2 linked regions of the Mytilus edulis genome follow. The protein of the gene in region 1 binds, or shares a complex with, the protein of each later gene. Links are inferred from orthologs where the notes say so. Each region holds a gene or a part of one and is shown in the gene's direction. Other genes may lie near its edges. The genes, in order: vacuolar protein sorting-associated protein 33A-like and vacuolar protein sorting-associated protein 8 homolog.

The links.
Region 2: vacuolar protein sorting-associated protein 33A-like (region 1) and vacuolar protein sorting-associated protein 8 homolog share a complex: the UniProt entries of both Drosophila melanogaster proteins name them as parts of the class C core vacuole/endosome tethering (CORVET) complex. The link is inferred for Mytilus edulis from reciprocal best matches to the Drosophila melanogaster genes car and Vps8.

The regions. Positions count from the first base shown.
Region 1 is NC_092349.1:42,682,999-42,700,032, reverse strand, and holds the start of vacuolar protein sorting-associated protein 33A-like, read left to right. Parts: upstream 1-10,717; 5' UTR 10,718-10,733; coding exon 10,734-10,847; intron 10,848-12,822; coding exon 12,823-12,888; intron 12,889-13,781; coding exon 13,782-13,909; intron 13,910-14,795; coding exon 14,796-14,880; intron 14,881-16,787; coding exon 16,788-16,892; intron 16,893-17,034. Other genes in the region: small G protein signaling modulator 1-like, read right to left, coding at 6,405-6,448, 6,574-6,652. UniProt on the Drosophila melanogaster protein: Core component of the class C core vacuole/endosome tethering (CORVET) and the homotypic fusion and vacuole protein sorting (HOPS) tethering complexes involved in endo-lysosomal vesicle trafficking and lysosome biogenesis.
Region 2 is NC_092357.1:11,535,711-11,552,750, reverse strand, and holds the start of vacuolar protein sorting-associated protein 8 homolog, read left to right. Parts: upstream 1-9,803; 5' UTR 9,804-9,988; coding exon 9,989-10,048; intron 10,049-11,495; exon of another isoform or gene 11,496-11,521; coding exon of another isoform or gene 11,522-12,044; intron 12,045-15,919; coding exon of another isoform or gene 15,920-16,102; intron 16,103-16,732; coding exon of another isoform or gene 16,733-16,933; intron 16,934-17,040. Other genes in the region: zinc finger protein 572-like, read right to left, coding at 3,841-5,232; uncharacterized protein, read left to right, coding at 11,522-12,044, 15,920-16,102, 16,733-16,933. UniProt on the Drosophila melanogaster protein: Part of the class C core vacuole/endosome tethering (CORVET) complex involved in endo-lysosomal vesicle trafficking and lysosome biogenesis by facilitating docking and fusion of endosomal vesicles.

The DNA.
Region 1 (17,034 bases):
TAAGTTATAAAAGTTTCTCAGTCTATTTTTTAATTCAATTGCATTTGGAAGCTTTTCTTCTAGCTTGCATTTATATATGTATTTTTTGGCAAAAATTACAAGAAAATTTAAAAATAAGCTTTCTTCTACAAAACCAAGAAAAAAGTTTTTTTTGTTAAAATCAATGTTAACATAGAAATTTTTCAGGCAAGCACAAAACAAATATAAAAAATTTGATGTCACTTGACAATCATAAAATAAATGTCCAATAGTTTCATCTTCACATCTACAAAAAGAACATAACTTTGTATCTTTGATTTTAATCTTATATAAAAATGTATTTGTAGGAATAGTCCTATGTAAAAACTTATATTGGAAATTATACAAATATGTATCTCTACAACATTTCTGAAGTATACAAAAGTATTTTTTCCAGTCTTCAATGTTAGAATGCAGCTCATCCTCCCATTTTGAAAATTTTACAAATGGAGGATGTGCACATTTTACAATAAGATTATTATATATGAATTTGATATTTTTACTGCTAGTAATTTTCTCCAAAAAATTTTCCTGCGGAGTAAAATTTTCTAAGTCAGTATCAGTGTTTTCCCTAATACACTGTTTTACCTCCATAGGGATATTTGATATTAAACTGTAATAGTGCATATAATTATTTGTCTGAACTTTTTGTTTAATCTGATCAAATGTGAAAAAATCTCTTCTTTGATGGTCAAAAATGTGATAGAGGTTTTGCACACCGGCAACTCCCCATCTGTTATATAATGAGAAATCTTCTGTTTTCACAAAATTCAAGATATCCATCGAGAGACACTCCTTGACATCAGTTTTAACATGTGGTTTAGATGAGTGTAAAGCTTGAAAAACATCTTTCCAAAAAGGATTGCTGAGTTGATTTCCAATCTCTAAAAATTTGAAGTTTTGTAAAGAAAAAGATCTTGCACCCCCAAATTTTTTCAATATCAACTTAAGAATATTTTGCCAGTCCCCATTCAAATTTGAAAAAAATCGCCTCACCCAACCGACTTTAAGATAAAAGTTGAAAGATTGTAAATGAACCATTTTCAAACCTCCCTCCTTTTTATCTGCAATCAGTGTATCACGTTTGATTTTTTCTGTTTTTCCATCCCATATAAAATTAAAGAATAATCTGTTGATTTCATTCAACATGGATTGATGGAAAGTTGTCTTATTGGCATTCATATAACATCTTCTTATTTTAATATTTACAAAAATTTTAAATAACCACTCAAATTTCTTTTTTGTGATTACATTTTATCTTTTCTACATTAATCAATCAATACAGTCAACAAAATCTTTTTAGTCAACTTATTTTCAAAACAAGATAAGACACTTTCTCTTAAGAGCAAGTCTCTGAGTATTTGTTTCCAATAATATTTTGTGATTGGATTTTATCAAGTAACCTGAAACAACCACATAAAATTTTCACCGCAATCATTTATTGAAAGACAACACAACCTTATAAATTTCCAACCACAATTACCATTTAACCGACAAATAGATTACAGAATCCTAATGGACAGGAACTGACCTATCGTTGTGATAGACAAATGTATTTTTTTAATCTTCTGACTTCAGAATTTGTTACTGAGGAATTTGATTATGACATATATACGTGGGCGTTTAGGAAACTGCTATAATCATTGATTTACACGTTTGTGTATTGATTTTTGGGTCATTTTCTAAAACAAACATTAGAATGGCAGTTTTCATAAGCATGTCATGGTAATGAAATTAAGCGTTTTTGTTCTGACATAATGTTTACAAGTATAAAACATATGACAATAATTGATGCGAATGTTAGATTTCCATATTAATTTCCTCCAAATAGAAATTAAATATTGACCTGATTTTTTTGTATGACTTGTGAAAATATATAAATGTCAAATATCAAACAAGTAAACAACAGCGGCTGATAACATTTATAAAAGTGGAAAATCAAAATTCATAAATCGGAGAGAGGCCAACAAAATAAAGGCAAAAAAAAAAACCACTTCGATAGAAAATATAAACCACAACAGTCTACAAAACATTACATTAATTTAAATAAAAGATTTCAGGCTATTTCGTGGCGGCCAGTTTTCAATTGGTGGAGGAAGCCGGAGTGCCCAGAGAAAACCATGACCTTCGATAGAAATTTTTTTTAATAAAGAAAAAGAAAGAAAAAGAAGAAGATTGTGTCATCATGGAACACATATCATCCCCCTCAAGCTTGTAACTAAAAATATGACATTACGGAAAGACAGAAGGATAAAAAGATGGAAAGACAGACAGATTGTCAAGGGTAACACTTTATTATCTATTCCCCTCATGGCAGGGGGATAAAAACAAAGAAACACTAACCCCACCAAAAACTGGGGATGATGTTAATCTTACAGTCTTCTTTGAGATTCTAACCAGAAATCATCAAATTGGAAAAAGATGCTTCATTTCACTACCTACCATATATTCGATCTACACTTTGGTAGTTAAAAAAAACAACTAAAAATATTATGACAAACCTGTTTTTTTTCTAAGAGATGAAACCCTGATTTTCCTTCATTGAAGTCTGTTTTTTTTGCTAAATTATTACTAGCCAGATAATGAAATATTTTTCAATATGACATATTTAATTGACATAATGCTATACATTGTACAAAAAAACTGTCTTCTGAATTTCAAAGAGAAAGTGCAACAAAGCAAGATTTCTCTTTTATTGGATATATTTTTTTTAAATAATCGATAATTTCAGGTTCTCAATTAATTGGTTTTACCTAAAATAACAAGACTGGTTCAATGGTGGATTGGGAATTAATTGATCATTTACAACAAATATCTCATGGGAATAGTAATTAACAGTCAATTTAGTAAATGGGATTGATAAGTATTGAATATGATTGACTGATTGATAGTTTGTCTTCAACATCTCTCTCAGCACCCATAGCTATTTCATTGCTGCCATTTTAATTTATGGAGCAAACCAAGAACATGGAAAGAACTGTTGAAGTTCAGTAGGAAAACTGTTATCAAAGTCATGCAATTAAGATCAGAGTCAAACACACCTTGCAACCAGTAGGGAAGGGTTAGTCTCATAGTGCACACTTTAGATGAACTACTTAGACCACTTCGCCACCTGAGGCCCTAAAATATTGAAAGAGGAACCTGAAGGATGAAGAAGGAACATTCTGTATTGTTGAGCGTTTGTTTTTTCTACATTGGCTAGAGGTATAGGGGGAGGGTTGAGATCTCAAAAATCATGTTTAACCCAGCTACAATTTTGCACCTGTCCCAAGGCAGGAGCCTCTGGCCTTTGTTAGTCTTGTATGATTTTTAATTTAAGTTTCTTGTGTATTATTCAGAGTTTAGTATGACATCCATTATCACTGAACTTGTATACATATTTGTTTAGGGGCCAGCTGAAGGACGCCTCTGGGTGTGGGAGTTTCTAGCTGAATTGAAGACCCATTGGTAGCCTTCGGCTGTTGTCTGCTCTATAGTCATGATGGTTAGGTTGTTGTCTCTTTGACACATTCCCCATTTCCATTCTCAATTTTATGAAGGATCAGAAACACTATAAAGTCGATATCCCAGGGCTATAACTAGTTAGAATAATCTCTCAGTGAATACATCTTATTGTGGTGATTTTTTTTAGATCACTTATAAAATAGCCAATCTATAGTTACTTTTTTTTTGAAACAACAGCAAGAAAATGCAAACAAAGTTAAAATAAATAAAATTTTAGGGTCAATAACTCCAATATACAATGTAGCATGACAGATTTTTTCAAATTATACAGGGTTTATAATAAAAATTGTTGTGCTTATCACCTGTTTAATTTCTTCTCTAAATCCTACAGTTTTAAACATTAGCCAAATATGAAGCATGTTCAGTTTGTTCCCTATGTTCTATTCTTAGACATGGCAGCCATGCTGATTGATCAACATGGACAAAATCACAAACTTTATAGTTGACATTCTACAGATGAAGCAAACAAACTTTGGTATCAACCCTTCATTCCCATTGAGCAGATTTAAAAAAAAAAGTTTACAACACACAGACAGAAAATGGACACAAAGTGATTGCGCATGTTCACATGGCCATTCAAGCCAGGTGAGCTAAAAGAAGGCATTCAATCTATATTAAAAATATCAGTTGATCTTTTAATAAAACAGTTGACATTTCCATGTCATGAATTCAGCCTCCACTTTTTATTTATCATCAAATTCTAGCAATTCTAAAATTGACTCTGGTATTTCTGCAGGTGAAATATATATAGATTATCTTTGAATCAAATAACAATTGATAGCAACATGGTTAGAGGGTTTAACTTGAAATGAAAATGTGAGTGGAAATATAGAATATGTCAAAGAGACAGAAACCCGACCAAAGAGCAGATAACATATAAAACAAAAATATAAAAAAATAAAACATGAATTTTACCCCTCATACATGTACATAATAGATGGACTTACTTGTTCTTATTAACAAGTAATATTGAAAATGGAAATGGGAATATGATAAAGAGACAACATCCCGACCAAACATGCCAAAGAGCAGGCAACATTTTTTCAAGACTTAGTAGAAAACTCTGTGCAAAATGGGCCTTGGTGGTCAAGTTGTCAGCCAGTCAACACTGAGGTTGTGAGTTTGAACCCTGACCACGCTGGTGCACTTGACTCCAATCTTAAATTAAATGATTGTCAGTTTCCTATCAAAGGTCAGTGGTTTTCTCCAGAACGTTCAGCTTTCTCCACCACTAAAAACTGGCTGCCAAGAAACAGCCCAAAATGGTACATGTACTTAAAAAGTGGCTTTAAACCACCAACAATCAATCAATCAATCAATCAAGAATGCAAATAACATGCAAAGGTTACCTTCTCTTTTAAAAAATGTTTGGGACATATCACATGCACATGTCACATGGGAATTTTTCAGCTGAACATGCTGAAAGAATGGGCACTTTAATTACAAATACATGAAACAGATGTAAGGACTTTATATTTAAGACAGCAACTGAACCATGTCACAATTAGAGTTAGGTGTTCAGTATTCAACCATACAAATCTGTATAATTTCTACAACAATAGACCAAATATTTACACATTATGTGTCAAGCTTGAAATGTCCAGAGTAGATCCTTTAAGTGATACAACAGAAACACTGAAGTGCAACAAAAAAAAAAAAACAATATTGCAACACACACAGAAATGAACTATAACTATGAGGCTCTGTGTTGAAGGCCGTACATTGACCTATAATGGTTTACTTTTATAAATTGTTATTTGGATGGAGAGTTGTCTTATTGGCACTCACACCACATCTTCCTATATCTATATAAGATAACAATTGCCCTTTCCTGACTTGGTACAGGACATTTTAAGAATAATTGGTGCATTGAACCTGGTTTTGTGGCTAGCCAAACCTTATGCTTTAATACAACAATATTAAAAGTATCACTAAAATGACAGCATTACCCTTATAAATCATTCTGTATATAAGTTACATTTTGTACAGCTATCTCTTATTATCAACAATTCACTATTTATATGAAGAAAATAACCGACACAATGACTTTACAGCAAAAAAACTAAAGACTTTTTCAATATAAAGGGGGTCTCATGGGGGGGGTTCCCATCCCGGATCCTGCTTACTGTTTGGTCAGTTTCCCATATCCCGCTTACACTATGTATGTAAGCAATTGTCATTTCCCAGGTCCCACTAGACCTCATTTCCCGTTTTCACGACACAATAATTTGACTTTTACGTGTCCCGCTTACAAAAAATTGGCAATCTCGCGTCACACTTAGACCCCAATGAGACCCACTATAAAGACTATAACACAAATAAATGAATTAATTTGCTTTGTCTTAATTATGCATGAAATATTTGCTACTGGACTACAATCTATCAATCAATCATTGCAAAATGTTATATATATTATTACCCCTGTATGGAATGAAGTACGTGCTATGAAAATTTAGATTTGCTTGCTGCTTAATTGATGTGTGAGCTAATACAATTTTTTGTCCAATAAAAAATTCACAAAAAATTTGTGTTATGAAAAAGTTGACAGGCCTGATAAAAATATAACTGTTTATTTAAGATGCTAAATCTGGTGTTAAACATGAATCTATTGGTCCAAGATTAAACATATCATTTTTATATCTGTTTGATATCAAAGGAAAAATCTTTGTAAAAAAAATATCTTTAATTAACGTTCCGTTTTCTTTTATGCTATCTTTGAAAATCAGGGTATTATGATTGTTGTCCCAGAATTAATCAATTGAAAACTGTAATTACATCTCCAGTGACACATTAAACATAAATTATCCTATTGATTTTTGTATCAATATCAAAGGGATGTTATTTGTGGTTACACAAAGTTAACAACATATATAGCAACTAACCTCTTTCTTGACAGCTCTTAACAGATTCTGTCGGTTTTCTGATTCTGCAAAAAATTAAATGAAAATATAAATGCTTTATTTTAATAAAAAGGATTCTAATAAAAAAGCATACTGGCTGAAAATTGAAATCATAATATAATAAATCAAAAGTTTAACCAATAAACCTCACCTGTTGGGTTCTGGCCTTCCATTTTGAGCTTCAGGTCTGCTGAATGCTCAGAAGAGTCCAAGAGTCCCAGATGTAACATTAATATTTCATACTAAATCATAAGCCCCTGAACTCCTATAGTACTAGCCCACAGTACAATGTGTATTGAAGATGCTCGGAACAGTTACCACAGATAATCAACATCCATGAATATTGATTAAACAAGGAACCAATTATCATATTCGCATCATTTTGTATTCAAGACCACCGGAAGTGCCATTACAGATATATTTTTTTTTATGGTTTATAGGTCATGTGTGCTTTAATTTTGTTCTTTGGTATGTAGACTGGTAAAGGGTGTTGCTTTCGTCTGTTTTTGAAGCTAATTTGTTGGTAAACAAATGCACCGGAAATACAGGGATCCTAAATTGAAAGCCGGTTTACTTTTCAGTTATTTCCAATAGATATTGATAAATTACAAATATATTTGATCATTAAGGATTAAATATTATTTTAATTGTCTAAAATTAATATTCTTAAAAACAAAATTTTGAAGATTTTGTGTTTTATTTTTCTAACATTAATAAAATAATAACGTCTCCCAACAAAAAGTTTAGCAAAGAACCATTAACAAAGTTATTTCAAAGTAATGTAAGAAAGTAAATTAATTGCACCATTCAATATGCTTAATTTTTATTTAAGTAAAATTCTTTATCATATAATTGTACATATATATAAAAAGCTTACATTAATTTTCACGGTAACTTAAAGTGTATATAAATGCCGCCTATAAATGAAAGGTGTTAGTCTTTACACACCTGGCACTGACTAGAATAGTAGAATAATAACAGGGATGGGGAATAAAAATTACAGAGCTATATTGTTTTTTGCTCAATATCAATAGAATAGGATAAAAAAAAAACATCTCACCCAGCTTGTCTTCAAGCTTTAAAAGCTAGTGCAAACTTTATTTGATTTGATATGGTTTATAAAATCATACATTTTTTTTTTATTATCAACCCTTAACGTTACAAGACAGAAATAGGAACCATAACAACATAGTCGACTCAATTTTATCTGCGTCTTCTTTCAAATTTCAATATCAGACCATGATATCAATTTTGAACGTTTATAATTATCATCATTCATAATATCTATATACTAAAAGAAACGTTTATTTAAGACCTTTTAAACCATATCCAACTGAGGAGTGTGTAAGATATGGTCATTATTCATAAATGGAGTTGCCAATCACTTGTATCATATTATCTAACATAGCTTTTGATGGAAAAGACCAGAAAATCCTGCTTTACAATAAAGAAGAATGTAGAAATTAAAGCCTGACTATCCTTGTATTCGGATCTAAATAATATCGCCATTAAATCTTATACCCTTTAGGCTGTAGGTAAAAGCTTTTGAAATAGCCAACATAACTTGTAATAATTGACATTGTAATATTTCATAAACAGTCTGTATCACATAAAAGATTATTGTTGTTAGTAGAAATTATATATTATTTTTATCCTCTTGTAAAATACCTGTATTTTTTCTCATAGTTTTGAAATGAATTGATCAATGTTTTCTAGATAAGAATTCGATAAAAGCTTTCGTATTTGAAATAAAATAAGAAAATAAAAACATGGGGTCACCGTACTGGAAAAGGCATATGCTTAAAAAAAAAAGGCATAATGATAAAATAAGGACAATGACTTTTATAGGACTTGATTAAAAAAATCCGACCATGTTAAATTGTGTGTCCTCTTTTTTTATCTACATTTTTCTGTTTATGTATTAAAATTTTCAAGATGGCAAAAACGCACAAAAGTGAAAATTGTCTTTGAATATAGCAATAACTCCTCTTAGGAGTTGACTAACGATTTTATCTATCTGACTTATTTCTATATCTATAAGATAAAAGACATACATTACATTTGCCCCTTATGCTTTATTTCAAGCCATGTTGGTCATGTTGGTTGGCCAGGGAAAATCATCCCAGGAAGCACCCAAACTGCTGTAAATTAGACAAGGAAGATAAGATTAATTTCTTTCTAGACTGTCCAGCTCTATATAAGTAAAGACAATAAGCCTTTCGAGAGCTGAAAATATCATACAATAAATATAATTGGACCATAGACTTGGAATGTACAGCTTGTTATCAACTGTTCACCGGCAACAACTGTGTAATATTCCAGAAGAAGGACATTATCAAAATCCGTAATCTTTCCGCAAGTGTATGTTACAAATTTCATACTCCCTGATTCAGACTTTTAAAAGCTAGGACTCGAATATAGCATACAAGGAGATAATCTATAAATTGACATTATATATAAAGTGGCTACTGAACAGTTATATATTTTTGAATAAGTATATCCCTTTTTATGTGGTTCATAAGTACTTATCGTTCCTCCTTTTTATATAGATAAGACCGTTGGGTTTCCTGCTTGAATTGCTTTACACTAGTGATATTGAGGTTTTCTTATAGCTTGCTGTTTGGTGTGAGCCAAGGCTCCGTGTTGAAGGCCGTACTTTGAACTATTACTGTGTAATTTTACACATTGTGAGTTGAATAAAAGGTTGTCTCCGTGCATTGTCACTCACACCACATGATCAGGACTCTTATTTCTATAGACAGGACATTCTTCACGCTTTACGTATATACTGTAAGTGTATAACATGATAAAAAAAAAAGGCAAAAGTAGTATACTGGTGTTCAAAAGTCATATATCGATTGAGAAAAAACAAATCCGGAATACAAACCAAAACTGAGGGAAACACATCAACTAGAGAAAAACAAAGGACACTGAAGTGCAAAAAAGAAAGCACAAAAAAGCCAAACTATTTGATAACAACTGCCATATTCCTGATTTGGTACAGGACATTTTCAGAAAAATGGTGGGTTGAACCTGGTTAAATGGCTAGCCAAACCCCCTGCTTTATGACAATGTTTAAAAAAAAATATCGCGAAAATGACAACACTGCATGGCTTTATTGGGTAACAGAAATACAGCACAAACTGGTAAACGCAAGAACATTTTATTTTGAATTTTAAGTTTATTCCCGCTGAACTTTTATTGTAAAAAAGTCTCCTCATAGACTCTAACTTTATACATATAATCAGAGACTGCCTTGTATAATTATATATAATCTGTATTGCTAAATTACACCCATAAGGGTCAGGCAATACAATCAAACAATTATATACAATACGCTTGCAATACAATGTAATACAATAATTTTAATAGTTCAATTATAAATTTATGTAAAAAAACGTAAACCATCATAAGCTTGTTTGACATGGGTCTGACCCCCTCAGTTCTAAAGACTGCTTAATGAAGACTCCAATATGACAAACAAGTTCAGGGATGTGGTTTAGAATGTGTTTTAGTTTATTAAATGCATCAAGACTTTGAAATAATGGTACATACTCTTTTAGATTTGCAACAGATTAGAACGAAATGATATGTTAGTAGTGTCACATTACAAAAAGAAACGGAATTCGTCATCTAGGACTCCACACTTTTACATAATCTTTGTGTTCTTGGAATGTTCCGTATACCTTCTCAATTCAATATCTAGGGAATCATCACTAAGTCTAAATTTTGAGAGTAACTGCCTATGACAAAATTATTTAGTTGAATTTAAATCATACCTCAGACTCAAAATTATTTTTTAATTTCTCTTATAGACAAAGTTTAGATGAGGAATCCATTTTTGAAAGTTTATTTAAAGTATTTTTTCATATTCATCTGAACTGAAACTACTATATCACACTTTTTGATATTACATTTTAAATCGTTTTTAGATTGTTTAAAAGGTACATTAATATTAGAGTAATTATCTTCAAATGAGTACCAAGAATAAATTCTTGCAGAATGTAAATTTATGTTTGTTTTTAGAGATTCTTTTACCAGGGAATTAACATTATATTTAACAAAAAATACCCCCCCCCCCCCCCCCCCAACCCCAACCCCTAATTTGTACTGTTTAAAAGAGTCCTTTTAGATTTATGACTAAAATAGAATTGTGTGATGCGTTTCAATAGACACACACAGCTGTATTTTATGTTCCATGATTGTGAAAGGACATCCATGCAATAGAAGAAGATAGCAACATTAGCAAATTGGGACGTTGCGTTCTTACATTAAAACTTTTCTGTTTGTGGTAATCACATTTATTCCATCATGGCTTCGACTGGAGGTTCTCACCTGTCAAGTGGGAAAATAAACCTGAGTTTATTGAGAGATTTTTACAGACGTGAGCTTTTAGAAGCTCTTGACAAATGTCTTGGCTCTAAGGCAAGCAGACTCATAATCAATATATGTGTGGTTTATTCTAGTTACCCCAATGGACATAAGAGTAAGCTAAGGGGGCGGAAACCAAATAATATATTTACAGATCAGCACCAGATAAGGCTATATACTACCATCCAAATAAGTCAATCTATAGTGGTGTTAATGGTTTAGGAAACCTATTTCTTAAGTTGAAGGTCTTAGTTTTGGGCGACCCCTAAAAAAACTTCTTTTTCAATTCATGTTTTCACATTTTTCCTTATGTCAGATTAAAATCTCTAGGCACTGGCTACGGTTACATGGAAATGTAACAATAATAAAAGTATTATTGTTACATTGGAGACTAATTGCCGGAATGCAAAGTTGGGTGTGGAACCGATTAATTACGAATGTAACAATAATTACTGAGGCTACGGTTACATTACGTTATTGTTACATGAAAAACAGCAATGTACGCTAGATTTATTAAACTTAAATCTTCTATAGTTGTTTTGCTTAATTCTTTCATATGTACTAAACAATACTTGTAATACTGATAAATTTAATATTATAAATCAACATTCAAATGGTGTTTAACTTGAATAGTTTTACGTATTAATGGTTTTGATGTTCTTAAAGATAATACTCAAGATTAGGAGTGTCAAAGGCGAAACATATAGTTCAATGGTTTCTCTTTTTTAAAGTATTTAACTGCACACCTACTCTTATTACTGTCATTATACTTTGAACCAATTTTGTTTAGGGTGAAAAACTTAAAAAATTGGGATGCGTTTTAAACCGTCAAACTTAAACAAAATCAAGACATAAATTTCATACACTACAGCTATGCAACTTGACCCAAATTGATACATCAAAAGCAAAGTTTGCTAACTGTAACTTAAATACTAAGAACTTCTGTATGTACACGTAACCGTGGCGGACGCAATTTCGTTCATCAAAAATGTGTCGGACTTTAAAAACCACTTACTTCATGTACTTGATTTGTAGAAATTGTCATTGTAAATAAAAAAAATTACAGTAAATAAATTGTATGTATAAATAAATGTATGTATTGCAAATATAAAATAAATGTCTTCATTTTTTATTAGTTAGTACATATTACTAGTCCAATTGTTTGTTTCAGGCCAGTTTTTAACTTTAGAACTTTTTAGGGGTTTCAAAATAAAATTTCTTCAATGTACTCATATCATTGTATATATACAGGTACACTTTTGGAGAAGGGGAGATTATTCAAATCTTGAAAAAAAATATAAATTTTACAGATTTACTTTATAACACAAGTATATATCAAATAATGGCATACATCTGACATCTACAAGTGAATATAAATTACTTGTATAAGTATAACCCTTCACTGATTTCTCACATGTATTTGTTTCATTATGGTATTGATATTTTCAAACTTAGATTGTTTTTAAAACAGATCTGAAACTGATAAAGGCCAAGAATAGAATACATATTGTCTGTTTCCCCAAAACCAATCTCTACCTTTTTTAGAGATTGCTATGGAGGCCAAAAAGAATAGAAATAACATGGTAGATCATCTTCACATGTTTAGGTCAGAAAATCATTATGTTTTTTTCCAAATAACTTTAATGAAATTGAGAATGGAAATTGGGAATGTGCCAAAGAGACAACAACCCCACCATAGAGCAGCTGACAACTGATATTTTGACACAACAACATTTGACTTCTTAAAGTTCTTGTAATTCGATCATAAAAATTTTGAGCACAATTATTGTATTCAGACAATAAAGATACTGGGTTAGTGTTTCAAAAACAAATGTTTTTACAGTGAGTACTTGAAATGTTGAATATGAATTAAAACTAATGTTCCTTTAATTTGTAGACTCTAAACATGTACATTTATGACTTCAATGGAAGTGTAGCAGGTATTCAATTTAAATTTACTCTTCTTTGGTACAAGAATAGGAAGTTATATTGTCTAGGATTTATTTAATAACAGTGATTAATTTTTCAGGCATTAGTATGGGATAATGATTTGACTGGACCTTTTGGTTTAATAGCAGAATACTCTTTACTGAAGGTAAATTTAGTAATACAATGAATTTTGGTTCAGAAAATAACTTTTTTTATTTCCTTTGATTTCTTGATATTTCTATATATGTATTTTGGCTTTTAAAACCATCCACCTCATTTACAGTAAACAAATGACATAGAAGTTAGTAACTACAAGCCAACCTACTAGCAAGAAATAAAAGGCTTTGAAATGATAAATGAAAAACAATTCAAATGAGAAAACCAACAGCCAGATCATGTTTATGTACAAAACAATAAATGGAAATCAAAATTATTATCAGCAACAAATGACAAAGAAAGATTGTTGTCACAAGTCATTCATAATCACCCTGTTTCACATTTTCAATTATTACCAAAATACATACAGATATGAAAACATTCAATGTTCCATATTTCAATGACATTTTATATCTAAAATAATGTTGGTGATTAAAGATTTAAAGATTTATGCATGGAAAAAAATACACAGGAACAATATGCATATTTTGCTTTTATTGCATCATATTGGTAATAAATAATAAGATAAAAGCTTTATTTAGAGTCTGAAAAGTATGCAAACTAAAACATTGATCATAAGCTCTGATGAGCTTTTAACCGACATTGATTATTAGTTTCTGTGCCTCACACAAAAATTGTGCAAGTGGAATGAAATGCTATTTTGCTGTTGTTTAATTGAATTCTTTCTAATTGATATCTAACAAATTTAAACCAAGAAGTTTAGATTTTGCATGACATCTTTACATATGTTGCTATAAGTGATAGTGTATTAAGAGTTTAGCATAAAGGGAAGCAAAAACTTTATGGTTCTGCAAAATATCTACCATTATACAATTTTTAAGAGAACGGTTTTACTTTTTTTGTTAACAATTTCGATATATATTTTTATGTTTCTATTAATAGGAACATGAAGTTGAGAAGATGTTTCCACTGCAGACTTCTGGTCTACCACCAAGTAATGTACAGAATATTATATTTATAGCCAGACCAAGATTGAAACTCATGGATCTCATAGCACAGAATTTATTACAGTCAGTATAGAAATAAGAAAATGGGGTATGATTTCCAATGAGACAACTATCCACCAGAGTTCAAATGACACAGATAAAAGCAATTATTGGCCACTGTACGGCTTCCATCAATGAACAAAACTTTAGTGCATTGTAAGCTGTAAAAGGCCTAAAAATGACAAATATAAAACTATGCAAACTAGAAAACTAAAGGCTGTATTTGTTTATAAAACAACAATTGAAAAACAAATATGATATATAGCAACAAACTACAAACACTGAGTAGTTTGTCTTTCAATGTTTTATAAGTAAGGCCAAAAACTGTATGATTTGGAACAGAGTAATTTGTATGCAAAGCTAGTGTTACTATTTCAATCTGGAACTTATCAATTTTATTCTTTTTTATCTTCGGAATGCTAAAACAATAACAAGAACAATTTTATTTGCGTTACTGTGTTGATATAACGAAATCAGCGAATGAGCGGTATCACCGGCCGCGCGTACACCGGGGACTCCACTGTATATGTTTTCCTGTTGATTCTTTGCATGTGTTCTAACATGTTAAAAATCCTCTTAACATGTTGCTCTGGTACACAGTCTATCTTCTTGTTTTTATACTACAATTTGTACTTGAAGATGTATGATATTTCGTTTAAAAAGGATATACAACATGTTGCACATTCAAGCTACATTTTAATAATGCCTAATCCAGATTTTAAGCTCCATTTTGAGCTTGATTTAAGCTTTAGAATGTGTAGGAAATAATTTTTAAAAAAATGTTTACGTGTGCTTGTACATGTAGTTCAGGATAAACATGACAAAATAAACTACATTTTGATAGTTGAAAACTTTTGCAGTGTTAATTAAATGAATGGAATTTGTATGTATTTTATACATGTATTTACAGGGAAGAACAAAAAGGAGGATTTAGGAAAGAATATCACATCATATTTGTCCCAAGAAAAAGCCTTCTTTGTGAGAAAAGATTAAAGGTATGAATGATTTAGCTCAGCTAGACCAATTGACTAACAAAAGTTTTTCCAAGACTCTCAGCATCTGTTTTTGAAGATTATGCAATTATTAAGATGGATATTGTAGGGTAGGCAGGGACTTCTTAAATACCACCTACAACCAACATCCCAAGTAATATTGCCTAAATCAAATACACACACAACTATTTATGACCCATAGTTAGTGTACAAATTTGTAAAGTGCTATTACAAACAATTACTGTTTTCAAATTGAAGAAAAGGAGAGAAAAACAAAACAAAAAGACAATCAAATGTACCCAAAGAACAACTGTGCATGAATCCTATTAAAACAGGGAGACTTTCTGACCAGTGATATAAGGGGAATAAGTAGTTATTTCACATGTGTTTTTTCTCACTTTTTTTTTATGATTAGATAAAGTTATGAAAATATTCCTGTGACCAACTTTGAAATTTACAAAGAATAAATATCTGGGATAACAAAGTGCAAAAAAAAAAACCTGCAGGCTAGGTTTAGCCCAAGAAATTTCGTGAAAACCACTGAAAGATACTGTAAATGGTTTAACAGTACTGATGTTAAATATATACTTGATGATTAGTCACAGAAATGAGGAAAGAATGTAAAGGACAATGAAATATTTAGATTTGACTGAGGTTTTTTATATCACTTTGTTTGTATTTTTCATCCAACTGAACTCAGAATGGGATTCTAGTTTTGAATTCACAAGCCAAATTTAAACAAATGTTTTTTTTGTGAATTTTTTGTGTGGAAAACAATTTTATTTGAGTTTTATATTGCTTTATATATGGCCAACTAAAATTAATTAGTAGATTTTCATCCAAATTTTTGAAAAAAACGGGGCGGGTGGGAGGATTTTATTTTTTAAATTTTATTTCATATGAAACCCTCGTCACGAGTTCTTCATATCCCGGGGTATATGCAAGTGGAAAGCAAGCTTGTATAATGTATATACATGCTGTATAAGGAATTCTACACTATCTTTTAAACTCTTAAATAAAAATCCCTGATTGGCAACCACTGTTATACATGTAATTGTCGCTTTAGAAACCTATGTATAGTATATACATCAAAAAGAAGAGAAATGCTCTCTTCAGTTGGGTTATACCTACACCAAATTTATTTTGCTTTCTAAGCAATGGTTTGTAGTCCCCATAAAATCAATAAAATGTATTGGTATAATTGTATGCAACACAAGTATTATGAGTACAGAATAAAATGTAAACTCAGTGTTGAAAGTAATTATGATGTAAAACATGAATTTAACCAAAAAGTAATTGTTGTTTAATGACTAAATTGAGGGTATTGGGACAGTTACAGAGGGTGTTTGCTGTTTTCTCTCAATATACGGTCATAAATCAAACAAGTTCGTGCTTGTGTCAATTTGTTTAATCAATTCATGTTTTTTTAACCAATTTGTTCTACGATTCACAGTCCAAATTTCCTAACACAAAGTCATTGTATAAATAAAAAAAGCAACACGGTTTTCGATTCACTTTATGTGACTACCGCAATTTGCGTTCAAGGACAAGGCGTTTTACTTGTATATTAAATATTTCATGCCCTTCTCGTTATCAAGCTCTATTCTCGATAGACGATGTTGTCATCATAGAGCAGCAGCATGTGTCGACTTAATCATTTTCGTTAGATTACTCGAAGAAACATGAAACACAAAAACGAAATTTGAAACTGGAAGTTTTGAATGAAACGAAATTATCGATGGTTCCCGGTAACGGACATGAACAAAATCCGGAAATCGTATTTTTATTAAATAAAAAAAATCGGGGCGGGACGATTTCAGAGGGGCGGGCGGGGATGAAAATCTAGCAATTAATTTTGATTGGCCTATACAGTACTGCTTTTATTTTTTTTTTTTTTTTTTTTTTTTTAGGATTTAGGTGTATACGGTACCCTGGCAAATATTGAAGAATTTAGTCTGAGTTTAATTCCTTTTGATTATGACCTGATGTCAATGGAAATGGATAATTCTTTTAAGGTAACTAATTTTGAAGTATCAATGTTATACATTTGTGTAAAGAAATATCAGAAAAGTTGTTTATTAAACAATATTAAAGAAGGAGAGATGGTATTTGGCTGCCAATGAGATAACTATCAAACAGAGTTCAGATGACCAGAAA
Region 2 (17,040 bases), on another chromosome or scaffold:
CCTTGCTTGATCTTAGATACTCTGAAATGGTGGTAATCAGATCCTACTGCACATGTGGCAGCTGTCGTTCAGATAATGGTAAACATCCATACAATTGTTCAAAGTATAATAAAAATTGGCTATTTAAAGTCCATTAACAAAATAAATGATTATGTTGGACAAGATCATGTAAATGCAACATGATCATTAACAATGCTTGGTACCAGACTGACATGGCACTAGCTTATAAAGTAATAGTTCACAGGAAGGCATGCCTACCTACACAGACACACTATGCATATCATGCCTCCTCCAAGCCATCATGTCCTTACTCTTTCTCTTTGATTCTTGGTGCATATGCAAGAATCAGCCTGGACTCGTTTTAAATCTAATACCTCTCACACCAATATCCAACTCAGAATAAAAAAGAAAATCAATCAGTTTTTCCTCCAATATGGCAGTCAAAGAAAATAACTCCAATTCAAATTACGTCAAAGAAAATCTGTTTAATCATGTTAATGTCAATGAATGTACTTGTTCTATACATGCATATGTAACTGGTATAACATTATAAATATGTATATAAATATAGTACACAGACAGTAAAACAAATAAATATCACAGTGTTACAATATATTAAAGGGTACAGTTGTGAGAAAACTTGGTGGGCACATGTGGTTGAACCCAAATTATCACAGACAAATGACAAATCTACTTAATTATATTATAGCTTGATAAATTCAATTTATCATTTCTAATAAATATTTTCTTCAACATGTTCAAAAATGTACAATCAGTTAAATATCTTGACACATGTGAATTCAGTCAAAATTTGTATACAATTATAGCGAACCCTATGATAGTTTTCCATAGATTCACCTGTAAGTTACCTGTCGATTTAAACTTTTGGCAGTTCTATTGTCCCATCTAACAAATACAACAGGTATTGTTCTCTGTATAGTTCATTCACCAGGACCTTTAAATTTCTTCTAGGAGAAATATATCACTCATTGATTAATTTACCTGATCAAAAAATTATCTGTTTTTTTATTGAAATACTTCTATAAACTCACATAAACTGTATGCAATATTGTATTTATTCAATATATTATTAATATATTTTCAATCTGTTCAATATAAAATCTGATTTAATAATAAAAAGTTTATTTTAGACACATTTTTTAGTATTTTCCAATGAATTTGCATGTTTTTGTTATTGTTAATTTATAGACTATGTTTATGAAGACCTTAATTTAAAAATAATAATATTCAAATTTTTATTTATCAAACACACAAAAATATTTATTGAATATTTGATCAGAAATCAACTTTTAATTTTTAAATCATTATTAATATTGAACACATTAAAAACTAGTTTTTGGTATTGAATAAATACAACACCACATGCAGTTTTGTGAGTCCTTTCTTAGTATTGGTATAAGTATTTTTTCATCATTGACAGTTCAATTTTTTGTTCAGGTATATTAATCAATGAGTGATATATTTCTCCTAGAAGAAATTTAAAGGTCCTGGTGAATAAACTATACAGAGAACAATACCTGTTGTATTTGTTAGATGGGACAATAGAACTGCCAAAAGTTTAAATCGACAGGTAACTTGCAGGTGAATCTATGGAAAACTATCATAGGGTTCGCTATAACATTTTCAATTACTTCTATTTCATATATTTGAAGCAATATGACAATGATTATGATGATAATGGATGTCTGCTTTGAACTTCCAAGTTAATATGCATATTCAGTACAACCACAAAATTTGAAAGGGTGGTGTTTCTCTTTTAATTTTCAGCACCACCTCCAAATTTATCAGCTAGCTAGCTAGTGACTATCCCTTGATTCGTCAACAGAATACATTAGCATTTCTGCAATTTTAATTATAAACAATGATAAAAAGTTATAGTTTACAAATAATTTATAAGTGAATTAATATTCATAAATTTTATATATTTAAGTTAAAAAAGTATTTCATTTATGATGTTCATGATGTTAATCATTTTGTTAATTGGCATATTATACATGTTATACATGTTATATGCTGGAGTGTTAATTCATTAAATTAATATGATTAAGGAACAGTATTTGACAATTTATTGTACCATGTATACCATGAGATTAAACAACTTACTTTAAAAAAATCGATTGTTACATCATGTACATATACATAATCGAATGCTTAGCCTAATGAATAAACATCAATTTTTTATCAGAGTCCAATGTTTCGTCTCATTAATTCAACAAAGAAACTGATTGCGCAAAGATCTTAAGTATTTGGGAAGGGTTCAAAAATTGCTCCTTGGGGGCTTGTAAATGACCAGTGATCTGAAGATAACAGACATTCATTGTCATAATGAAATTACACTTAAAAGATTAGTAAAGACATCTGCGAAGGGCAGACAATTTAAAATTTATCATTGCAAAGAAATTCTAAGAATTCAAGAAAAAAAAAGATAGGATGACTTTTTCATATATATATAAGTAAAAATATCTGAATGTCTAACATTCTAAGGGACATAACTATTACTAATTCATTATTTTTACCTGTACAAGTAAATAAACATTTGATAAAATTCAATCCTACGAATTTACTTACATAAGCATGATAAGTATATATATCAATATTACTTCTTTATTTTAATAAAAACTACTTGTTCAAGTAGGACCCCTGACTGATTGTAATGATTAATTGATCATGTTGATTGAATTACAAATTTCAACTCAATAAAAGCCATATTTTTGTACGACTGATCATAATTTATTACCACAGACATATATATTAACTCAATCAACTCATTTAAAATTGCAAACACTCTTTATATTAATTAGTTATCATTCAGTGTTCTACCCAGAAATTTTGGATAGCATCACATTTTGCGTAAATAAAAATTACTGTATTTTTTTTAATTTCGTTTGTCGCGTCGCGTTGATGCTCTATTTCTTTAATGTTTTAGTTTATATTGTTCAATTCATAACTGAGAATACAATTAAACTATAACCACAAGAACTGATGTTTCAGTTTATGTTTTCTTTTTTCATTTATAGTTACAGAATTACATTGATATGGTGGATCAAGTTAGATAAGCAAATATAAACTCAATTGAGATGTAAAAAGAGTTAGGATAGATACATGTACATGAGCTACAACTTATCAAAATTGGTTACTACATGTATAAATAAACTTGATCAACACAATAAATTGATTAAATTGATAAAACATAGTAGCTATCATGAATATTGAATAAGATAGATATGATTGTGATGCTTAAAAATCAGATGAGACAGTTGAAAAAATTGATCAACTCTAACAAATTGTATTTCCTTGCTCAATGTTGCTATTGTGATAAAATGTTCAACGATTGATCACGACAGAAACGATTGTGAGTTTTGAAAACAGAATGAGACAGTAGATTAAATCTATCAATTTTTAAACAAATCATTTTTTGACATCATTGAACATATTAATTACTCATGTTACTATTGCAAACCAGACGAGACAGTTGATTCAATTTAATCAATATTGTCACAGTAAGTGAATTGAGTACATACACATGATACAGTAACATACATATACAGATATATGAGTGTCAAAATCCTAACAACAATTGATTGCTCTTATTCCTATTATAACAGTATAAAATTGACTAAATAATTGATTGCAATTTCTGTAAAAATTCAATTCAATCAGTTGTTGAATACCATGGATTTTACTAACCCTATACCGATCCGTAGGGGGTTAGAAGGGAACCATATAACTTATAATAAGTATTCTTTTAAACAAGAGGCTAAATGCGCAACTAATTTGACAAATTGAATCTGTAAGTAACTATACTGTATTCCTTTCCATTTACTCCCCCTTTAACCCACACTCCTCCCTATTTACCTGTGCATCTGGTATCCCATCCTCCCCATTCCCTAACCCTGATGTTGTAGCAACAATAGATGTTATCTGATCAATGTGAATTTTCCTATGCATTTCATAATTGCTCAAAGATCTGAAACTTTCTTTACAAAACTCGCATTTAAATTGAAGTTTATTGGAGTGTGTATTCATGTGAAATAAAACATCTGCTTTTTTACTGAACGTCTTGTCACAAATATCACACTTGTAATGAAGTTCTCCATTATATGTTCTGATATGCCTATTCAAAGCCCTATTATCAATAAAACCCTTTTTACAAATTGGACAAATACAGAGTTTCTCCCCTTTGTGTTGTTTTACATGCTTTTGCATGCTCCTGTTATCTATAAATCCTTGATCACACATGTAGCATTTAAATGGCGTTTCACCTGTGTGTATTCTTATGTGGCGCTGCAAATCATAATTATCACGGAATTTCTTCTCGCAGATGCCACAAGTGAATGGTTTTGGATCAAATGGAATCACGTCTTTCTGATGCCACTTTTTGTGTCGCACTAAATTATATGAATCTCTATAGCATTTATCACATTCATCACATTTAAATATCGGCCCCTCTGCAGTATGTGTTCTTAGATGACGTTGAAGATGAGCACTACGTTTAAATTTTTTGTCACATAAAGAACATTCATAACGTCTTTCCACATGCTTTAACATCTCTTCTGTTAAATTCTGATACTTTTTTACTAAATCTTTTTCAGCATTTCCATTAACATTTATGACTTGAGAATCTGTTTGAAATTTTGTATAATTTTCTCTCAATTCATTTTCAAGTTTTCTTTCATCAAATTGATGTTGAATTTTACCAACTTTTAAAGAATGAGCTTCAAATAGGTTACTTCCCTTTGAAGAAAGAGAGGGATGATAATCCTCTAAATTTGTATGTGTGACATCGCCAGGATTTGATGTTGATATACTGGTATCACAGGGTGGATGTATAATTCCAGACTGGTATACAGTGTCAAAATTAATTCCTTGATTGTTTATACTTTCAATTATAGCTGCTTTGAGGGACTCATTATCCCTGTCATCCAAAAGACTTTTAGGTTTGTGACTATTCTCTGAACTTTTTTTGTCGCAATAATTGCAAATATAAGTCTGTCCTTCAAGAAAGGGTCTCATATTTCTTGATGAAACTCTGGCCCATGGTAATATTTGAGAACAAACATAACAAGCAAAAATTTTGTCACAAACTGTGCTCACACAAAAAGAGCTTTCTCTTGAATCTTCTTCTGACTGGCGTTCTAATTTCAATTCATCACCCGGTAAAATGTACATTTCATTCGAACTATATTCCTCAAGATCTGAATTGGCATCCATGATAGAAAAAACATAAAAAAGTTGATTAATCTTCCAGACACATATTATCAGCTACCTGAAACAGAAAAAAGAGAAATTAGAAACATTTAATAAAGATTGATTAATTAATTGATTGATTGCTTGATGATTAATTATTTGATTGATTGCTTGGTGATTAATTAATTGATCGATTGCTTGGTGATTAATTAATTGATGGATTGTTTGGTGATTAATTAATTGATCGATTGTTTGACGATTAATTAATTGATTAATTTGCTTGGTGATTAATTAATTGATTGATTGCTTGGTGATTAATTAGTTGATCGATTGCTTGGTGATTAATTGTTTGATTAATAGCTTGGTGATTAATTAATTGATTGCTTGCTTGGTGATTAATTAATTGATTAATAGCTTGGTGATTAATTAATTAATCCATTGCTTGGGGATTAATTAATTAATCGATTGCTTGGTGATTGATTAATTGATCGATTGCTTGGTGATTCATTAATTGATCAATTGCTTGGTGATTCATTAATTGATCGATTGCTTGGTGATTAATTAATTGATTGATAGCTTGGTTATTAATTAATTGATTGATAGCTTGTTGATTAATTACAACACTATTGAGTATGTTGTGATGGCAAGATTTATTAGTTGGAGGATGTCTGAACACAAAGAGAGAACCACCATTATCTTTGACAGAAAACAAGCAACTGTAGTCAATTCAAATAGGATAGAATTAAAATGCACAATTTAGTTGATAAAGAAGATGAACCACTTGACCAACATACACCCAATTTACAATCAAAGAATTCAATAAGTTGGTAAAGGTGTTAGTCTGACATGTCTGAAGGTAACTTGAAAGTTTAATTTGCCACACATCATGCAGATTGTTTTTTTTACATTTTAAATTGTTTAAGAAACTAGTTATGTAGCATTTATTTCATTTAGACTTAAAATAACATGCAATAAAATTTTTGGTACAGAAAAATATTTCACAAAACTTTTATAGTTAAGAAATAATTCATGGGGGCTTACATATTGTGATTTTACCACAAGTTGGCCCTTTATGACAAATATCTGCATAAAGGGACAACCTGTGATATATTCAAGCCCCATGAATTATTTCTATTCTAATACGACAAATACAGCAACTGCTTTGGATCAAAGCTCTCTAGGTGAAGGCATTATATGCCGTTCCTTTAAATAAACGCACTATTAATTTGATGTAAAAGAACAGAGAAAACTGAATAAGTGATATGATGTAACTATTCACAATAACATATTTAGATAGTTTAAGATGAATCTAAATCATGTGAATGATAATTGTCATGATTGTACTTATATGTCTTTTATGTATACAAAAAATGGCTTAAATAATACATTTTAGCATCGTTTATTTACATTTCCTTGTTGTGATGATTTTCGGGTTTAAAAGCGTGTAATTTCCCGTAAAATGCTTATATTCTGACGTCATCTTTCTATGATGTCGGTTAGCTCATTCATAAAAAGGCAAATGACGTGGGAGTAAGATCGGAACAGCCCAAACAATAATATATTCATATTTTACCACTTAGACGCTGGTGTGTACTCAAAGCGTTTGAAGGACGTCATGTTCAGAAGGTATTTGTTATGCAGTCTGCACCGTTAGCCACTAAACCGATGCCCCAGACTAGTAAATATAGTTTCGGACTAGTGAAAATTTTCAAAATGTTAAATAGTCATATAGGGAAAAGTTTTGATATTTAGTATCCAGACTAGTAGATGAAAAAGTTTTTGGCGCAGACTGGTTATGCCGAAATAACTACTTCAATTGCCAAGTTGACTATCACTGGTGCTGGGGTAACTAGAATTCATAAATATAGAAGGGTTGTAATGAAGTAGCCTCATAACGAATAACCTTAAAAATTCTTGCTATTTGACGTTAACAGTAATTTTTGGTGCATGAACATAATTTATTTTCTTTGGTTACATCTTCTGACATCAGACTCGGATTTCTCTTGAACTGAATTTTAATGTGCGTATTGTTATGCGTTTACTTTACTTCATTGGTTAGAGGTATAGGGGGGAGGGTTGAGATCTCACAAACATGTTTAACCCTGCCGCATTTTGTGCCTGTCCCAAGTCAGGAGCCTCTGGCCTTTGTTAGTCTTGTATTATTTTAATTTTAGTTTCTTGTGTACAATTTGGAAATTAGTATGGCGTTCATTATCACTGGACTAGTATATATTTGTTTAGGGGCCAGCTGAAGGATGCCTCCGGGTGCGGGAATTTCTTGCTACATTGAAGACCTGTTGGTGACCCTCTGCTGTTGTTTTTTATTTGGTCGGGTTGTTGTCTCTTTGACACATTCCCCATTTTCATTCTCAATTTTATAAACATGAAAAAATGTACACCGAATGCATGTCGTTTCGTAACCTGGTCGTTTCGTACTTGGTCAATTCGTAACTCGTTAATTTGTAACTGAGACGTTTCGTACCTGGTGTAATTATATATGGTTATAAAGTGTTAGTTAAAATTAATAAGTTTAAATGAAGCACTTAAAGTTATTATTTATAAATGACAATTAAAATGATCAAATTGTTAATCTAATAAAACAATATTGTAATCATGGTAATGGTTTTTTAATTTAAAACTATCTTAAATTAAAAAGAAAAAAAAGTCACTAATAGTAAATAAGCTTGTGATGCATGTCATTTCTTAACCTCACTGGGTCGATTCGAAATTTAAGCTTGTGATCGGTCACAGTTTCATCCGAAGATTGGAAAATTGGATGTTAAGAACGCAATCTGACTTATCAAGTTCTGTCGAAACAAAGCTTCACAAGGTATATATCGCATGTACAATGGTGTAGGCGGGAGAAAAGTAAAGTCATTGCGACATTTTGGTCTCCAAATAGTGAAGAAATTTAAACCAGACTTTTACTTGAAAAACTGTACTTGTAAAGTGTAAAATTATGTGCAATCAATTATTTAATAAATAAATATAGATATATATATATGCACCATGATGTGTACATCAATAGGTCTTTTTATCATTTTTTTAAGTAACCTACCACTCATACTATTATTTTATCTTGATATAAGGTTACAAAACATATCAGGTACGAAACAACCTAGTAAGTTACGAATCGACTAGTTACGAAAGGACCAGGTTACAAAAACGACATGTACCCATTTTCCCAAAACAACGGTAATGAAAATTTAATATTTGAGACCTCTGATAAATCACGATAAGGATATTTTGACGAATTGCAATGAAATCTTGACCCATTTGAGGCTAACGACTAACAGAAGCTTAATATAACCTCGGGGGGGCCACTTGCTATATAATTAGTGGTAGGGATGAGCCGCTGGAATAGGTCACTTTTTCATGCTCTATGATATATATGAAAAGGGTGGGAAATTCAGATGAAATATATCAATAGGTTGATATTATCACTTGCTTGATTATATCATAAGTATCTGAAACTAATCAGATGTCCGTATTTATTCTTGATGCGGTTAAACCACAGTCGTAAATGCATCAGTTATTTGTCAAACCAATTAAACTCTATTTATTCTGATGTGGTATTTCCACTGATGCCCGTGATAGATGCAATAAATCCAACTATTTTGACATTTGCACCTAATTATCATTCAAGGGTTTGTATACATAAAACAAAATAACAATTATTTAAAGAAATTCCATTGTGACAGCGTCCTTTACGAGGGAACGGCAATGAAACTTTTTATCAGTTTTTAATTAATATTTAAACATGTAAAAATCAGTGAAGGTGTTACACTCTGGGGTGATATTACATTTATCTGACCATAGATGTAATACCAGGCAGATCTATGATCTGACCAAACGTCTTTTACATGTATTGTATTTTGGAATTGAGATATCTTCATAATGAAAGATGTAAAATGGCCGGGCAATAAGAAAAAAGTGTTTAAGATATGACGAATTTATTGGAAAAGAAGGTGATTTTATTGCAACTATTTTGCTTCCTAAGAAGAACGTGATGATGAGCGGTGAAAATATTGAAATATATCTATAGGTCTGTTTTTGGTAAATTAATATATGACAAGGTATATATTTTTTATTAACAAAATATATGAAAAGGGTGGGGTACTTGATGTCTCAGCTGCTCACCCCTACCAAAAAAAGTTTGAAGTGGCCCCCCCGAGAATATAACCATTGACGACTGACGGTACCCTTGTATCTATATATAGGTGCTGTGACAGTGTGAGTCACTGAGTGTTTTCAAAATTAGTTCTTCCTAATCGGCCAATGAACATATCCCAATCACTTATTCTTCAGGCAGAAACAAAACAAAAGGGACCAGTCCAAAACAGATAAATTTTGATTTTTAAACATTAAATCATTACCTTGATTCTAAATAATGTATCTGTATGCAACTTATGGTAAAAAAAAACACGGACAATATATATTGACATATTTGTAAGGACCTAATTATAAGTATGTTCCCATGAAAAACATATCGGAAGAGATATTCGAGGAAGGGGAGAGAAACAAAATGCAACATTTTTTCCAAATCAAATATTCGTTTAATACTATTGCCACGATCTCTTGTAGATCGTGTGCCGTGTGGCCGTGTATTTGTAAAATGTAAGATCAGATGATAATTACCTAAACACGTTGGTGTTTTAGCTGTCTGTTTCAAAATTTAAAATACTGTGATAATTCATTATGTGCGGAAGTGTGTCCGGGGAAGTTTCAATTTTTCCATCTTTCTACTACTTCCGGCTTTCAGATTCTCCTCCCAAAAGTTATGGACTCGGGTAGCTCAGAAAAATCTAGTCCTTCAGCACCAATAAATTTTGATATTGAGGTAATATATGGCACATGCTATGTGTGATATAGTCACGTATTATAGTGTGAAGTCTTCACAAGTAGGTCTTAATATTTAAGTAGATATAGGAAGATGTGGCATGAGCAACTTTTTTAATCATCTATAATATTAAAAATGCATATTTTATCGTCATGCACCAAAAATGACTGTAAACATCATTTGGCAAGAATTTTCACCGTTATTCGTTATGAAAGTATATTGTACACCCAATACCATCATTACTACTCTCTTATAGATATTTCCATTTGTACTTGCTACACTGCATGGTATTGACGAGTCATAGAAAAACTCCCAAATGCCATTACAACAATCAATTGAACTTTCATCAGTTCAATAGTGGATCCATACTATAAATCAAAGTGACAGGCATGACAGACTCAGTAGTTTATTTCTGAGGATGAAAATATTGTAAATATTAAAAAGAGGATGTGGTATGATTGCCAATGAGACAACTCTCCACAAGAGACTAAATAACTAAGAAATTAATAACAATAGGTCACTGTACGGCCTGTCCAAATGTAAAACAATTCAAAAGAGAAAACTAAGGGCCTAATTTATGAACGAAAAAAATAGTATGTAACACATTAACAGTCAGGGGACTTACTTAAATGAGTGATTTTCTAAATCACTGATTCAAGTAACATTAATTCCATCAATGTTGGAAGTAAGGTTGTCTTTCTTTAATAATCACCTATTTAAGTAGTACAAATTAATCACTTGAAGAAGTGATTTAATTCTATCGTAGCTTTAAATATAGAATACTAACATGACTAATGATCCAGGGACTAATTATGTTTCTAAAATTATCAGAAACAACATCTGTGTTGATAGGATGACCAAGTCATTTCAGGTGATGACCTTGTACTGAATCTAGGATAATGACATAAAAATCACTTGTTTAAGTATCATACCTCAATTTCCTTCCCAAAAGTCACTTCTTTAAGTTTTATTATTTTAATAACCCCCACTAATTTCAACACCCCCGAGCAGTGAATTTTTTATCGCGAACAGAAGAATTTTATTACATAATCTGAAAGATGAAACCTTGAACTTTACAGGAAAAATACTCCCACTGCTGGGAAAAATCTGTGAAGAAAGTATCAGTTCATTTAGTAAAGCCATTATTACTGCATTTTTTTCAACTAAAATAGAATTTACAGCAAACAGATAGCATTTTAAAAAGGCATAAACCTTGCTACTTAACGAGGCCCGATCTAGAACGCGTTTTTGAATATTGCGCAACTCGGGCATTTTTCGGTAGTTGGTTTAACGGTTATAACATAACACATAAAATAAATATAAACAATACCTTTTCTGATTATTTTAGGAACTAAAATGATAAAATAAATCAATTTTTGATCGTAGTTTATATTTTATTTAAATTTATACTGTTATTATTGTTTACGACATAGTTTCGCGCCATTTACGGCAATGTAAACTATATCAGACGACATGCCTAGCAGAAAGAAGAACGGTCGGTTTTTGAAAAACTGTCAGGCAGAGACTTACAACAACAGATTAGACAACATATCTAGACCCGATTTATCCACAACTGATTTTGATACACCATCTACACTCGATTTTGATACTACTTTTACACCCGATTTTGATACTACTTTTACGCCCGATTTTGATACATCTTTTACACCAGGTTCTTTCCAACATGATCACACGTATCAATCCTCTGCATCGTTTGATGAGATCAATGAGTTCTATTTTTCTGGAAAATTAAAGCCAATAGGTTATACCAGACATGTGATTGACATTCAAACCTTTTTTGATAATATGAGATGTTCCAGATGTGACATTACATTGAAGTTAAAAGATGGAATTGGAATTTTGCCTGCTGGTTTATGTGGTCACCTGATTGTTCGTTGTTATAACTGTAATGACTTTGTACGTGTTGCCATGGGCAAAACCCACAATGCATCCCATGGGCCAAGGATATTTGATGTCAACACCAAACTTGCAACTGGTAAGTGCAAAAATAAAATCTGCACACCCTGTATATTTATACTTTATATTCACATGTAGCATGTTTACCTAGTACCAATTCCTGGACTGCAAATAATTATGATGTCTTGCGAGTGCTGCCTTGTAGTAGCATTAGCCTACTCTTTTTCGAAATCTACAAGGGTGTCTTTAACGTGCAAGAGGAATCCATGACAAGTCGCCCCACTCCTAATCGCCCCACTTTTTCACCAACTCGCCCCACTTTAAAAAAAAAACGCCCCAACCTGGATTACCAAATCGCCCCACTTTTTAAAAAATCGCCCCACTTGTGAAATGTGTTAAATCCCGTTAATATTACTCCTGAAAACTTGCCCCACTGAATGGAAAACGATAAAATCTAGATTAATATATTATTAATATATTATTAACCAGGATGAATTTAGTAAAGCCAACTCGCCCCACTTATGGAAAAAGATGTTATCCTGTTGTATATGAGTTAAATTCCGTGAATATTACTCCTGCGAACTCGCCCCTCTTATGGAAAACGATAATATCTAGATTAATATATTATTAACCAGGATGAATGTAGTAATGCCAACTCGCCCCACTTATGGAAAAAGATGTTATTCCGTGAATATTACTCCTGCCAACTCGCCCCACTTAAAAGAAAATGATAATAATCTAGATTTATATTATATTATTAACCAGGATGAATGTAGTAATGCCAACTCGCCCCACTTATGGAAAAAGATGTTATCCCGTTGTATATAAGTTAAATTCCGTGAATATTACTCCTGCCAACTCGCCCCACTTATGGAAAAAGATGTTATCCCGTTGTATATAAGTTAAATTCCGTGAATATTACTCCTGCCAACTCGCCCCACTTATGGAAAAAGATGTTATCCCGTTGTATATAAGTTAAATTCCGTGAATATTACTCCTGCCAACTCGCCCCACTTGTAGAAAAAGATGTTATCCCATTGTATATAAGTTAAATTCCATGAATATTACTCCTGCCAACTCGCCCCACTTATGGAAAAGGATGCTATCCCCTTGAAAACCTTATAGAAACTTCTTATATTATTCCCTTTTTTTAATATAGCAGTAAGAAGTGAGTATTAATATTTCCACTTATGAATAGTACAAGTATGAATAGAGTTAAAATAAATATTTAACATGATTAAACCAATTTCACATGTGGGACGATTTTTTAAAAAGTGGGGCGATTTGGTAATCCAGGTTGGGGCGTTTTTTTTTAAAGTGGGGCGAGTTGGTGAAAAAGTGGGGCGATTAGGTGTGGGGCGACTTGCCAGTGGGGCGACTTGTCCTGCTTCCGTGCAAGAGATATGACTCTCTCTTAACACGGGTCAGCCAATTTTCGTCCCCTTCCAACGGACTATCATCGTTACTTTAGTTTATTGCTTTTGGTTGGTTTTTTTCTGTCGGGCAAGAATGTAAAAAATACAAAATCAAATTTACAGAACCAAAATCTTACATCATCCAGTGAAAAGGTACTTTACACAGTAGAATAAAATGCTTCATTGAGCGCTTATCAAACCCTGACAATTGGGGCAATATTGGACACAATATTCCAGCTTGATACTGTCTGAATTGGGATTGTGATTAAATTTGTTGACATAATTATGATATAGCTTTCAGGGCCTTTTGAAGCTACATGTAACTATGCTGAATGGGCTTTGGCTCACTGTTGAAGGCTGTACAGTGACCTTTAGTTGTAAAAACTGTCTTGTGAACAGTTGTCTCATTGGCAATCATACCACATCTTCTTTTTTATATTCTGTACATGTACATTTTAAATTTATTCTGTACTATGCACCAAATACTCAGACTATTGCCCTGATCTTTTTTATGGAACTCTGGTTGTGGCAAACCAACATTTTTTTCAATGTGGCCCCACATCAAGGATATGATATAGACCCAGAAAGAAGTCTGTAACATGTATAAATTTTGAGCAATAACTATTAAGAAGTCATATTTTTTATTGATTTAATAAAATCTACCAACCCAACACGCATCGTTTTATAAGTTGTATTTCGTCACATTTCATTATCTTATGACACAAAAAAAATACATTGCATCCTGGACTCATCAAAATCTTTTGGGACTCACCATTTCTAAAAGTGATGAGTCCCAGGACTCACCATGAAAAATTCCTAGTGAGAACCCTGACTCTTATAACAAAACCTTTAACATCATGTGACGCAATGTGGATATATCCAAAATCAGTGAAAATTTGGTGTCAGAATGAGGCCACACTTAGAAATATTTTGGTTTGCCAAAACCCTTAGTACCCAATCTATGCATCGAGAAAGTGGGTATATTTGTTGCTACAATGTAGGTAGGCTATTTCTTTTCTTTTTCTTTTGGCTATGAGAAATTTAAGTATCAATGTTTATAACTTCTTCATGTCTATCTGAATAAAAATAAATATTTTCACATTAGGACAATAAAAGATTTTTAAGTAGGTAGTATTTTCAAGGAAGGTACATGTAGCATTAGGGCAAACAAACCTATTCTTTTTTTAGGGTCTGATATAGTCTCCTTGTTCTATATATAGAAAACTGTTTAACCAGACTTTTTATATTTATATTATTTGTGTATTGAAATCATTAAATTACTTTTGTTTCTTTTAAAAAAAAATAGCAATTAATTTGACAGATCAGTTGTCCAGATATATACTGATCATTAAATTGCTAATTGTTAATGAAAAAAACACCACATAAAAATTAAATTGTCTATCAGCTCAAGGCAAGATTTTAAGTAAAGATATAAATTAGTAAAAAGGGCTAAGTTAGCTTTTCTCATCACTTTGCGTCCATCATGGTTTTTACAAAAATCTTCTCCTCTGAAACTATACTAAGAAAAATTTAACCAAACTTGTCCACAGTCATCATGATCATTCCGTTTATCATTATGGTATCTTGTTAAAAAGATGTGTCCCATGACCCCCCCCCCCCCCCCATGAATCAAGATGGCAGCCATGGCTAAAAATACATAGTGTAAAATGCAGTTTTTTGGCTTATTTTTCTAATGAAATTGTTCATTACATGTAGGTCAAGTTCTATCTGCCCTTTAATTTTCAGACCATTCGGGCAACTTGTTGTTGGGCTGCTGCCCCGGAATTAGTAATTTTAGGAAAATTTTGCAGCCTTTGGTTATTATCTTTTGATGTCTCGAAATATCAATGTTATTTGTACAAGACTTACAACATGTAGAAGCAGATAGAAAGCGAGGCTGTGGCGAGAAAAAGTTTTTTTCCAGCCAAGTACAAATAAAATTTATATTTCGAAACAAGGTATGCTGTTTCACTATAAACTGCAACTCTTATAACTGATCTAATTGATGTATTTAGAGTAGAAACTATCATTTCTTACTTTTAAGCCAAAGGCGTAAAATTTCCGCCAACCTGTATAATTTATTGACGTCATCAATTAAACTGTACAGAAACCCATTGTCTACGTCATATACAAGGGGATATATACATGTACGATCACTGACTGTTTATCACAGATGAATTATAGTTGATGCAATTTGACTGCTCATATAGCACAGCTGCAGTATGTCACCTTATATTAGTACTGTTGTTCAAATTTTTAGTTTTAAAATATATATATGTTAGATATAGGAAGATGTGGTGTGAGTGCCAATGAGACAACTCTCCATCCAAATAACAATTTATAAAAGTAAACCATTATAGGTCAATGTACGGCCTTCAACTTGGAGCCAACGGTCTAATCTATATAAAAACGAGTAACGAGAAACATGTATAAATTACATAAACACATGATAACTACTGTACATCAGATTCCTATATGTACATAAATGTATTGACACATACAAATACTGCAATTTTTTAAATGAAAATTAATATTTCAGGTATGTACCACAGTGGAATAGGACCAATACAGCTTAATAATTTATTTACATCACTAAATTTGCCAAATGTCAGTGAAAGCCTGATAAGAAGACGTTGTGAAGAGGTTGGGCCTATTCTTGAAAATATAGCACAACAGTCCGTAGACAATGCTTTGTTTGAGGAGGGATTGCTAACAAAAACTTGTGAGTAAATCAATGATGACTCTTTAATGACAGATTTGTGTAAGCCTGATATTTTCTAGTATTGAATATCAATCTACAAAGGATTGAACCACTCTACACATGTCATGAATATTAATGTGAATGTGATTTGTTGTGTGAAAATTAGCACTATTTTGAATGAGCATGAAATGAAGTTTAAATCATAATTAACGCAACATAAGTTTTTATATGTCAGTCTTTAAAGAAAAATAGAACTTTATTCATATGATAAACAAGAGGCTAGCTAGATCTGGCTTTGTTCACATGTAATTTGTCTATTATTTGAGTTTGTTAACTTTCAAAAAACCTGCTATGAAACAATGAACACCAAACTAAGTCTTAATTATCCTTCTTTAGTACAAGGTTTGTGTTTTATTTTCTCTTTTGTAAAAAAAACATGGCTGCCATTGCTATAAATAAATCATAGGGGTGAAATGCAGATTTTGGCTTATAACTCTGAAACTAAAGCAATTAGTATATATTTGACATGGGGTCAAGATCTATATTCCCTTAAATTTTCAGGGGAATCAGACATTGCCTGACCTGTTGTAGGGTTGCTGTCCATATGTAGTGCTTTTATCTTTTAACTTGTCAATCATTTTTTCATTTCAGGTAATTTACAAGCCGATAATGACAGTGATGCAATTCATGCCATTGCTAGTGGGTCAGAAACTGCAACAAGCAGTAGTGGAATAGCTTCAACAGATAACACTAATCCTGTGTGTGGCCCTATTAGTGTAACTGGAATAACAGCATCAGCAGACGGAGCTTATCAGAGAAGGGGCTCAGGAAGGTGTTACAATAGTTTGTCTGGTAACTATATCTTTATTATTTACCTATCTTAAGATGGAAGTATTATCATGATTATGATCTGTTTACATGTCATACTAAAACTAAAAAAAAAACTTATTTTTTTCTTA